2 linked regions of the Ovis aries genome follow. The protein of the gene in region 2 purifies or fractionates together with the protein of the main gene of each other region. This does not show direct contact. Links are inferred from orthologs where the notes say so. Each region holds a gene or a part of one and is shown on either strand. Other genes may lie near its edges.

The links. Proteins that work in one complex are often made in the same cells at the same time.
Region 1: the proteins of S100A4 (region 2) and PPFIBP1 purify together in Homo sapiens (co-immunoprecipitation; 3 studies listed by BioGRID and IntAct, with this or other methods). This does not show direct contact. The link is inferred for Ovis aries from reciprocal best matches to the Homo sapiens genes S100A4 and PPFIBP1.

What each region holds. Positions count from the first base shown.
Region 1 is NC_056056.1:187,918,031-187,922,828, forward strand, and holds the start of PPFIBP1 (liprin-beta-1), read right to left. Parts: upstream 3,145-4,798; 5' UTR 2,977-3,144; intron 1,765-2,976; exon of another isoform or gene 1,610-1,764; intron 1-1,609. UniProt on the Homo sapiens protein: May regulate the disassembly of focal adhesions. Did not bind receptor-like tyrosine phosphatases type 2A.
Region 2 is NC_056054.1:104,001,762-104,006,313, forward strand, and holds S100A4 (protein S100-A4), read right to left. Parts: upstream 2,960-4,552; 5' UTR 2,802-2,959; intron 1,964-2,801; 5' UTR 1,949-1,963; coding exon 1,808-1,948; intron 798-1,807; coding exon 633-797; 3' UTR 497-632; downstream 1-496. UniProt on the Homo sapiens protein: Calcium-binding protein that plays a role in various cellular processes including motility, angiogenesis, cell differentiation, apoptosis, and autophagy.

The DNA of each region.
Region 1 (4,798 bases), on a different chromosome or scaffold from region 2:
CTTTTGAGGATATAGGTATTTTTTAAAATGGGAGATCAGAACCTCAAAAAGTTACTTTTAATGTGACAAATTACCAACATAATCTAAATTAACTACAAAAGTACAACTAGTTCATAAATATGAAAGGTTTTAAAAAGAAGTCAGCTAGTCAGTAATGGGGGGGGGGGGGGGGGGGGAATTGACCTTATTCTGATTTATCTCCTGCAAGCACAGTGAGCAACAAAAAGACTACCTAAACAGTTAATGAACGCTCTCTCACTGAACCTGATTCCAAAAAATGACTAGAATGCCCCTGAAGTTAGGCACTATTGATATGTAACAACAGTGTGCCCTGTATTTCAAGTAAACATCTGTCCACAAAGGCCAGATTATCCCATTTTTTAAAGGAGCTATCGTAGCTGGTCAAAGAATTTAACCAAAACCTGATTCTACCTTTCTCAATAACTCAAACATCTTTCAAGTTTTGTCCTTTGAACATACTGTGTTTTAGTATACCACATCTGCCTCCTACACACAGATGGAGAAAGAGAAATGTTGGTTAAAAATAAGTATGTAAACTTAAAGGTTGCTACTCAAACTGCGAATGCAATTTAAAGCTTTGTTATATTCAAGTCAGTAAGCAAGGACTCATTTCTTGGAAAGAATTATAAATCTGAATTTGGAAAACAAGATAACATCCTAATGATACTACTTGACTGGTTTTTGCAGCTTTCTTTCGGTATTACAAATACTCCATCAGTCAAGGCTTCAGAGAGCTCTCACCAGCCCACAGGAATTCCACCTCACCTCCTGGACTTTCCTGCTGAAAAAGTGCATTGGAAAATACAGTGTGTTTTATGTACTTCTACTCAGATGGTAAACAATTTGTCTGTAATGCAGGAGACCTGGGTTTGATCCCTGGGTCGGGAAGATCGCCTGGAGAAGGGAATGGCTACCCACTCCAGTATTCTTGCCTGGATAATCCCATGGACAGAGGAGTCTGGGGGGCTACAGTCCATGGGGTCACAAAGGGTCAGACTGTACTGAACAAATAACTCTTTCACTTTCACAGAACATAAATAGCAAAGACTCGGTCACCATTATTTCAGTGACATTAGCCAATTTCTGTTTCTCAGTCCAAAACACAGCCCAAAATTAAAATATATACGCTTTTTCAGTGAAGCACACCTCCTCTTTGCAAAAAAAAAATCTACTCTTAATCCATCCTGTGCAAATTAAAAATTTTAAGAACAATACAGATCCAGGTGTCTTATGCATGCATGCATGAGTGTGCGCTCAATCACTTCAGTTGTGTCCAACTCTTTTGCGACCCTTTGGACTGTAACCCGCCGGGCTTCTCTGTCCATGGGACTTCCCAGGCAAGAATACTGGATCGGTTTGCCATTTCCTCCTCAAGGGGATCTTCCCCACCCAGGGACTGAACCCATGTCTCTGGTGGTTCCTGCACTGCAGGTGGATTCTTTACCACTGAACCACCAGGGAAGCCCTTAGGTGTTTTATAAACAACAGCAAACAAAACACCTCTTTTTTGCCCTGCAACCTAACTGGTATCTGGCTAGAAACACAGAGAACCCCATCAACAAAGTCCTGTGTCTCCACACTTCCCGACCTGGGTTTATTAGATGCAATATTGTGGCTTCTTTCTTTCCTCTCCGGAAATGCCCTGACGTACAGGCACCTGGGATGCAGCTTTTGATTCACAAAGAAGTCCACGCCCGTTTCCTCCCGACCTGGCAACAGAAGGATCCTCACTGCTGAGGCACTCTGGTGAAAGAAAGGGAAACTTGACTCAGGAGTCCCAGCCCAAATACTTTCTTTGCTTCCCCAAAAGAAAGAGCCTTCAGCACTGATAAGTGAGGGTTCTCAATCAGTGTATGAGGTCGTTTTTCCCCAGAAAGTCAATCATACCCAGTTAGTGACCTGGGCACACAAACACCAAGCAAGAAACAGCTAAAGGGTTTGAAACCGGAAATAAACAAAAAAACAGAATTCTGTACTTCTGCTGATCTAAATATCCTTTTGCTCCCTACAGGCAGTTCCTTTCCCTACATACCGAACTGGAACATGAGATCAAGTTCTTCTTCTATTGCTCCCTGCAATTCTTATTGAAAATAAGGATCTGTTTTGGCCCCACATGTTGAAAAATTCATGTTCCTATAATTAAGAGTTTGTTTGCCACGCCTTCAGCCACATTTCCCAGTTAAAACTCCCTTCTCTAAAAATGATCCATGAAAACAACTACCAGCTCTCGTCTTTCTCTGAAACAGCCACAGAAAACAGATATGAAGGTTCTCAACAGCCTTTCTAACCTTTCCAGATCACAACGTTGGCAACCAAAGGGATCCTCCGTTAGGATGTGAGAGAAAAAGAACCGGCGTTGAAGCATGCCCCCAAGAGACCGGTCTTCCCACAAGCTCATAATTAATACACTCCAAGTGAATTTCTCACGTTCTGACGGAACTATAAAAAAGGATTTCTTATATTATGATATAAAAAATATGAATAACATTGACAGACTTTCATTTAAATGTAATACACCACAGGGGAGCCAATAAAACACAAAAACTTTTGTTCTCTCATCATAATTTTTGAGTCGATATTTCATAAACTTTTTGTGACATTTTAAAATAACACACACACACCCCTACACACACACACCCCTACACACACCCACACACACAGACACCACACTTCTCTGATTGGGGTTCTCAAGTATTATTAGGAGACTGGGGAGGGGGCGGTATTTAAGGAAACAGACAAGATCTCACACGTCCAATCCTGGAGGTATTTTTCACCTAAAAGCTAGTTGGGAGCCCCAGGAGTTAAGCCTTACCCCACCCACCAAAAAGTGCCTGCTCCCACTGGGAAACTGGAGTGAGCTGGAAAAGAAAATCGAGCGGTGAAAAGGAGGAGCAGCTGCAACCACACAACGGTGCCACTACACTCCGGTCCCCGAGAGGAGCCAAGCGCCCTTACCTGGGGGGAGGAGAGCCGCCAGCACGAGTTGCAAAAGTTGTGCTTCACCTTCGCCCGGAGTTCAAAGCGCCGGCACTCCGGCCCCACCGCAGGCTGGCTGCCCCGAGTCCTCTCTCGCCCGGCTCCCGCCTTCCCCACCCTCTCGGCCCTACACCATGTCAGGAATCCGGGCAAGCACCGAGCTGGGAGCTGACATCACTCCCAGTCCCAGGTACCTCCCCTCCCTCGCGCCCTCCCACCTCCCTCGCCGCGGGAAAGAGCCAAAGAGAGCGCGCGGGAGGGGCGTCGGCGCGCCGCGGTTCGCTCTGATTGGGCCCTCGGACTGTCACTCAGAGGAGCCCACTAATTTTACACATTCCTCTCTGAGCCCGGCGCTGGGCTGGAAGTGGGTGTTGATGGAAAAAAATGCTGCCTTTCCTGCTATCTGTAAGGGAAGGAGAATCATGGTACGAGGAAGATCCTTGCAGGTGGTGTTTTAAACTTTTCTTGGCGCGTTTCCCAATCCCCCAGGTCAGAAACGAAACTAACCTATCCAAGCCCCCCTTTGAAGGAAAAACTGTCGCCTGTGTGTCACGGGCAAGTCCGAGTCCGGCGGCGCGTGCAGCAGAAAATGGCTAGCTTGAAGTCAGACAAATAAAGGAAACCGCCAGCTCGCTCAGCTCCCCTTTTATCTTGGGGTTGCTGGGCGTTCCCTTAGAACGGGAAATTTAGAACTTCAAAAGCTCTTCGAGAAGATAGGGAGGACAATCCTAGAAACTGCGACCCAGCTCTAGATTGTTAACCCTGGGGCGTTATCGACCATGCGGTTTGCTTTTGCTTTTAGTGACGAAAATCACAGCACGCGAGCTTCCAGGCAAATAAAATTGAACCTCTGAAGTAATAAAAATTACTGTTTACCTTTTTTTAAAGACCTCAGGGCTGCTGTTTTTATACACAACTGAAAAGGGGTGGAAATCTCACAATTGAGTTCAGCAAGCCACAGGAGAATAATTATTGTTGAATGGAATCAATTGCAGTGGCTGAGCTATCAATTAAGAATTAACTAACGTTTACCCTGGCAGCTATCAGGCTATACCCTGGCTAATAGAACAGAGAGATTCTCAGGAAATGGGTCTTTCAGTTTGCCTAATAACTGCCCCAAGGCAGGACTGAATTGTGAAACGTGGCCGTCTTTATATGAGATAAAGATAGATTATCCGTCATCTTCTGGAATTACAATGCACTGATTACTGACTTTCTCTTCATTTTTATTGTTTGTTTTTTTGATGGATGAGGACGTGTTTATTTTGCCATTCTGCCACAAATTGTAGAAGGGATGCACAGAGTCCACCAGTGTGTCTGAGTTAATTCCCACAACCATCCTGTAAAGTGAGTGTCATTAGCCCCATTTCAACATAAAGGAATGAAAGGCTCAGCAAGGTTACATAAGTAAATGGCTCCAGGACTGCAGTTGAAACCAAGGTTTATTGGATTCTGAAGCTATTTCTTCTCTCTAGAGCAGTGATTGCCCACAATCTACACACATATAATGCCAAAAATAATAATAATAATAATAATCCACCAACCCCAGCAACTGCTCTCACAGACCAATTTCTATATTATCAACATTGTGCTGTTTGTCAAACCTACACTGCTCCAAGCTCCTAACTTTACTGAATCCATTTTCCCCCAGCTCTAAGTCCTTCTATGCACTACTTCCAAATAAGTTTGCTAAAACCCTGTTTGGTTTTGCTGTCAGCATCTTCCTCTTCCAAATCAGGTCCCTCTTGCCATGCAGTTCTTTGCTGGCCATTTAAAACTCTCTTATCTGGGCTCTCTGCAC
Region 2 (4,552 bases):
GGAACAGGTGGCAGGCAGGGCCCGAGCTGTAAGTGTCAGGACTGAGCCTTCCTCCCCATCCCACTCTGGCCTCACTACTTCCTCCCCATGACTCAGCCCTTTCCCCACCACCCCAGGGCACCCACACTCCATTCCAGACCCCAACCAGGAGCAGATGTGACCTCCGAATCCATCCCAGCCTCAGTCAGAGATCCTGCCAGAGGCAAGGCTGGGGAGGTGGGATGGGTGAGAACACTGGCTAAGATCCTACAGCCAGGATGTTCCAAGCCTCTGGGGTCCCTTTCCCTGCCTTTGACCCCATCCAGAGTCGACTCTGTCCTTCACACACATGCACAGTCCCCCACATCCCTCTCCACTTTCACTAATCTGCTCTCCACTCTCCAGAAGACTACAGCTCAACTCCCAGCATCCTCCATTACCCCCTCCCCACTGGCCCCACCAGGCATCCCTCAGGCCCCACCCCACGCCCCCGGAGTTTCTCAGACCATCAGCCTCATAGCTTTCAAGAATCTTTATTGAACTTGTTCAGTATTGTGCTCACATCTGGAGGAGCCAGGGTGAGGTGATGCGCCCACCGCCAACAGGGAAGACCCCAGCTGGCAGCCCACCCCTGCCCCACACCTGAGGAGCCTTCATTTTTTCCGGGGCTGCTTATCAGGGAACCCTTCGAAGAACTCATTGCACATCATGGCGATGCAGGACAGGAAGACGCAGTACTCCTGGAAGTCCACCTCGTTGTCCTTGTTGCAGTCCAGGTTGCTCATCAGTTTCTGGAACGCAGCTTCATCCGTCCTTTTCTGCAGGAGGAAGAGGCTACAGGTGGAAACCGGAAGCGAGGTCGGGGTCGGGAAGTGGAGCAGAGCTAGCACCGGGTGAGGTCTGAGCTCCAGACGGGAGCTCAGGAGGACACAGGCACCCCTGCGGGGCCTGGCTCTGGACCTCCAGCCCTAGGGGCTAAGCTACCCCTCAGATGAAGTCTGAGGACCTGGGTACAACTGCGTAAAGGAGACCACAGCCTCTTCTGCCAAGGTCATTTTAAGAGTCCAATCATACAGTGGTCATGAAAGCAATAGATAAACAGCGTAAAGGTTGATACAGACGGCATCTGGGATTGCTCAAGAGAATTCTGTAAGTGTGTGAGTGTCTCCAGAGAACTGTATCTTCACGTCCACAAGCCAAACAGAAACTCAAAAATGGTTTATGGGGCGGGGGGATGGTGATAAAATAGAAATATGAGGTTAACAGATATACACTACTGTATATAAAAGAGATAAGCAACAAGGATTTACTGTATCACACAGGTAACTGTATTCAATATTGTGTAATACCTTATAATGGAAAAAAATCTGAAAAAATAGATATGTGTATATATAGCTAAATCACTTTGCTGTACACCTGAAATAAACACAGTGTAAATCAACGATATTTCAACTTAAAAAAAAAAGGCATATAACTTTCACAGAATCTTAAAAAAAAACAACAACAAGTTTCATTGCTGGAGTGATGGCAAGAGTTTGACCATCGCAGTTCATGATCTCAGCTTTAAACACGGACTTCCTTGGGAAGTTACTTAGCCTCTCTGAGCATCAGTTTCCCTCCAGGGAAGTTGTACAGAGCACCATACCCTATCTGCTCACTCTGCCCTCTTTCTGAGGGTGCTAGGAAGTGAGCTGTGGGTGCTCACCGTGCTTTGGCCCCAGGCAGCCAGGGTAAGCTCTCTGCCTGGAAATTGCCCGTGTCAGCAGCAGATGCCAGCTGTAGGTAATGCTTCACAGAGGACGGGTGCCTCCCAGGCAGTATCACTCACCCCTAAAAAGCTGGGCAGCTCCCGGGTCAGCAGCTCCTTTAGCTCAGACTTGTTGAGCTTGAACTTGTCACCCTCCTTGCCCGAGTACTTGTGGAAGGTGGACACCATCACATCGAGGGCCTTCTCCAGGGGGTACGCCATGGCAGCAATCAGGAGCTGGGGGCAGGGTCACAGAGACAACCTTATTTTCCCCACCCCACCCCCAGCTATGTATTTGTAAATGCCCCCCACTCCCATCCCTCAGGGAGCACATTGGTGACACTGCTCCCATCCAGAAAGGGGTTCAGCTCCTAGCGGGAGAGGGAAATGTATGCTTGGGGCAGTGAACCCCTGCAGGGCCTGGTGCTCAGGCTCCGGGTTCCAGGCAGCCAGCTCCCCAGGAGCACTTTCTCCACCCTCACTTGGTCCATTCACTCACTGGTACGCTCAGCCCACAGCAGCCCCACCCCAGCCCATTCTTTCCCCCTCCCAACACTGGGCTGGGTGAGGCTGCTGGAGGCTTGCCCAGGGGCCTAGCGGAAAAAACCAGTGCATAGGGAGGGGCAGGGTGAGGTGGCAGAGGCACGGATGCAGGGCAGGGACGGGGAGGCCACCCTCCCTTGGGCTGGGCTGCTGGTGCAGGACCGAGGCTCCTAGGACATAACCAGCCAGAGCCCACAGGCGCCTTCTGCCTTCACTGTGCTTTCCACATCCAAGTGTGCCACCCAGCAGACACCAGCCCACACACCCACCAGTGTGTACAGCAGCAACAACGCACGCAAGCCCCGGCATCACAGAACCCCTCAGACAGTTCCCACCAGCCACCTCACACTTGTTGTTCTTTCCTGAGTGCACACGCACTTGTGCACACGCACACCACCCACCCCAGAGCCTCCACATCGGAATCTCACATCTGGACCCGTTTAGTGCCTCTGGCCCCCATCCACCTCCCTTTCTCCTGCACCCAGCCTCGGCCTGACACCTCTTGCATGCCAGTCAGGCGACCACAACTCACCAAGAGAGAGGAAGTGCTGGGGAGAGATGATGGGGAGAGAGGAAGAATGGGGAGAACCCAGCAGTCTGACCTATTTATACCCGGGCCAGGCCCTGCCCATGGCAGGGGATGCGGGAGAACAGGACCCAGCCCTCCTATCGTGGGCTGATGTGGTGAACGCCACGGCCCCCCTCCACCCCCCTCCACCCGCCCAGCCTGGAAAGCTAGCTTCCTGCCCCAGCAGGCACAGACGGACATGGGAGAGCCCCAGGGGCACAGGCAGGGGCCTGGAGGGTGGGTGTGCACAGCTCAGCTCGAGTTTTAGGGAGCTGGGGGGAGGGACAGGTTGTGCCTGGGGCATGAGGGACAAGGAGGACGTGGTCCCACCAGGCAGCCAGCATAGAGGGGTGGAAGGTGGCAGGTGGGAAACTGCCCTGGGATGCGGCAGCCTGAGAAGACAGGGAGGGCCCCTCAGTTTCGGTGCTGGGGACGGCTCACGCTGCCCTGCACCCCTCCCCAAAGAGCTTCCTACCTTGTGGAGTGAGCCCCGGGACAGTGGGAGCTGGGGGTCTGGGAGGAGGAACTGGCTAACACCCAAAGGAGGCTTGGGGACCCCCCGCAGGCACATCCTTGCAGAAAGGCGCTGGATGCCAGAGTGATGGAATGGGGAAGGAGAGGCATGCCTTGGGGCTCAGGGATGGACTGAAGGGACCGAGAGCAGTGGGGTGGCAGAGGGCGTTGGGAGGGGGCTTAGATTTGGCAGAGGGCTTTGGGAGGGGGCTTAGATTTGGGCTGGGTGTCAGGGATGAAGAGGGCAGGGAGCGGAGGAAAGTTAGAGGTGATGCAGCACAAAATGAGGGGAGGCAAGGATCAAGGGAACCTCCCAGGGTAAGGTATGAGCTCAGGGGTTGAGGGAGGGTCAGGAGTCGGGGGTTAACCCCTCAGGTGGCTGTGGCTTCAAGGAGAGGGGTCTGCCTGAAGGTCTCTCTCCTTCCCCCTTCAGCAGCAGAGCACCCCTCCCCAAATGATCAGGGAGCAACACCCTAGTCCAACCCCTGATCAGATTAGTGCTGCACTCTGGGCTCTCATAGCCCAGGGGCCGGGGACAGACCCGCCCTCTCCCCTACGGCCCCACCCTCCTCCCAGAACATCTGGTCTGGGGGACTGAGTTTGACCCTCCTCTCACCTCCTTCACAGCCCAAGGGAGCTTCTTCTTCAGAGACCTGCCCGATACAGACAGACAGACAGACAGAGAGCCCCCCCCGCAAACCATCCTCCCATGGGCATCGTCCCCGAGTTGCCCCCATGCCTTCCTGCTGGACATTAGGACCATTTCATTTCCGCAGGGTCTGAAACTGCCCTCAACCTCCTGTCCTCCCGTGGAAAAGTCCAGGGAGGGGTGACGCCCCAGTGGGACTCTGTCCCCAGGCCGTCCTCTCAGAAGAACCAAACAGAGCCAAGTGATGCCAGTTCTTTATTAGGAACAAAAGGGGCCTTTGCCGCCACAATCTCTCTCCCAGACATGCTCTTCTGGGCCTTGACAGCCACCACCGCTGTGGCTGGTGGGCGGAGGCAGCGGCTGGCTGCTCTTCAAATCACTAGCTGTGATTCTGGGGATGGTCCCCTCGTGTCTCCTGGACCCATGGGTTGACACACCAGGGGCAAACCTGGGAGATTCTAGAAGCAGGAGCCTGGGGGGCTGGGAAGGGGAGAGCTGACGTGCCCAGGATGACCTTGGGGCAGAGTCAGAGCGGTCGAGAGGACCCCAACCT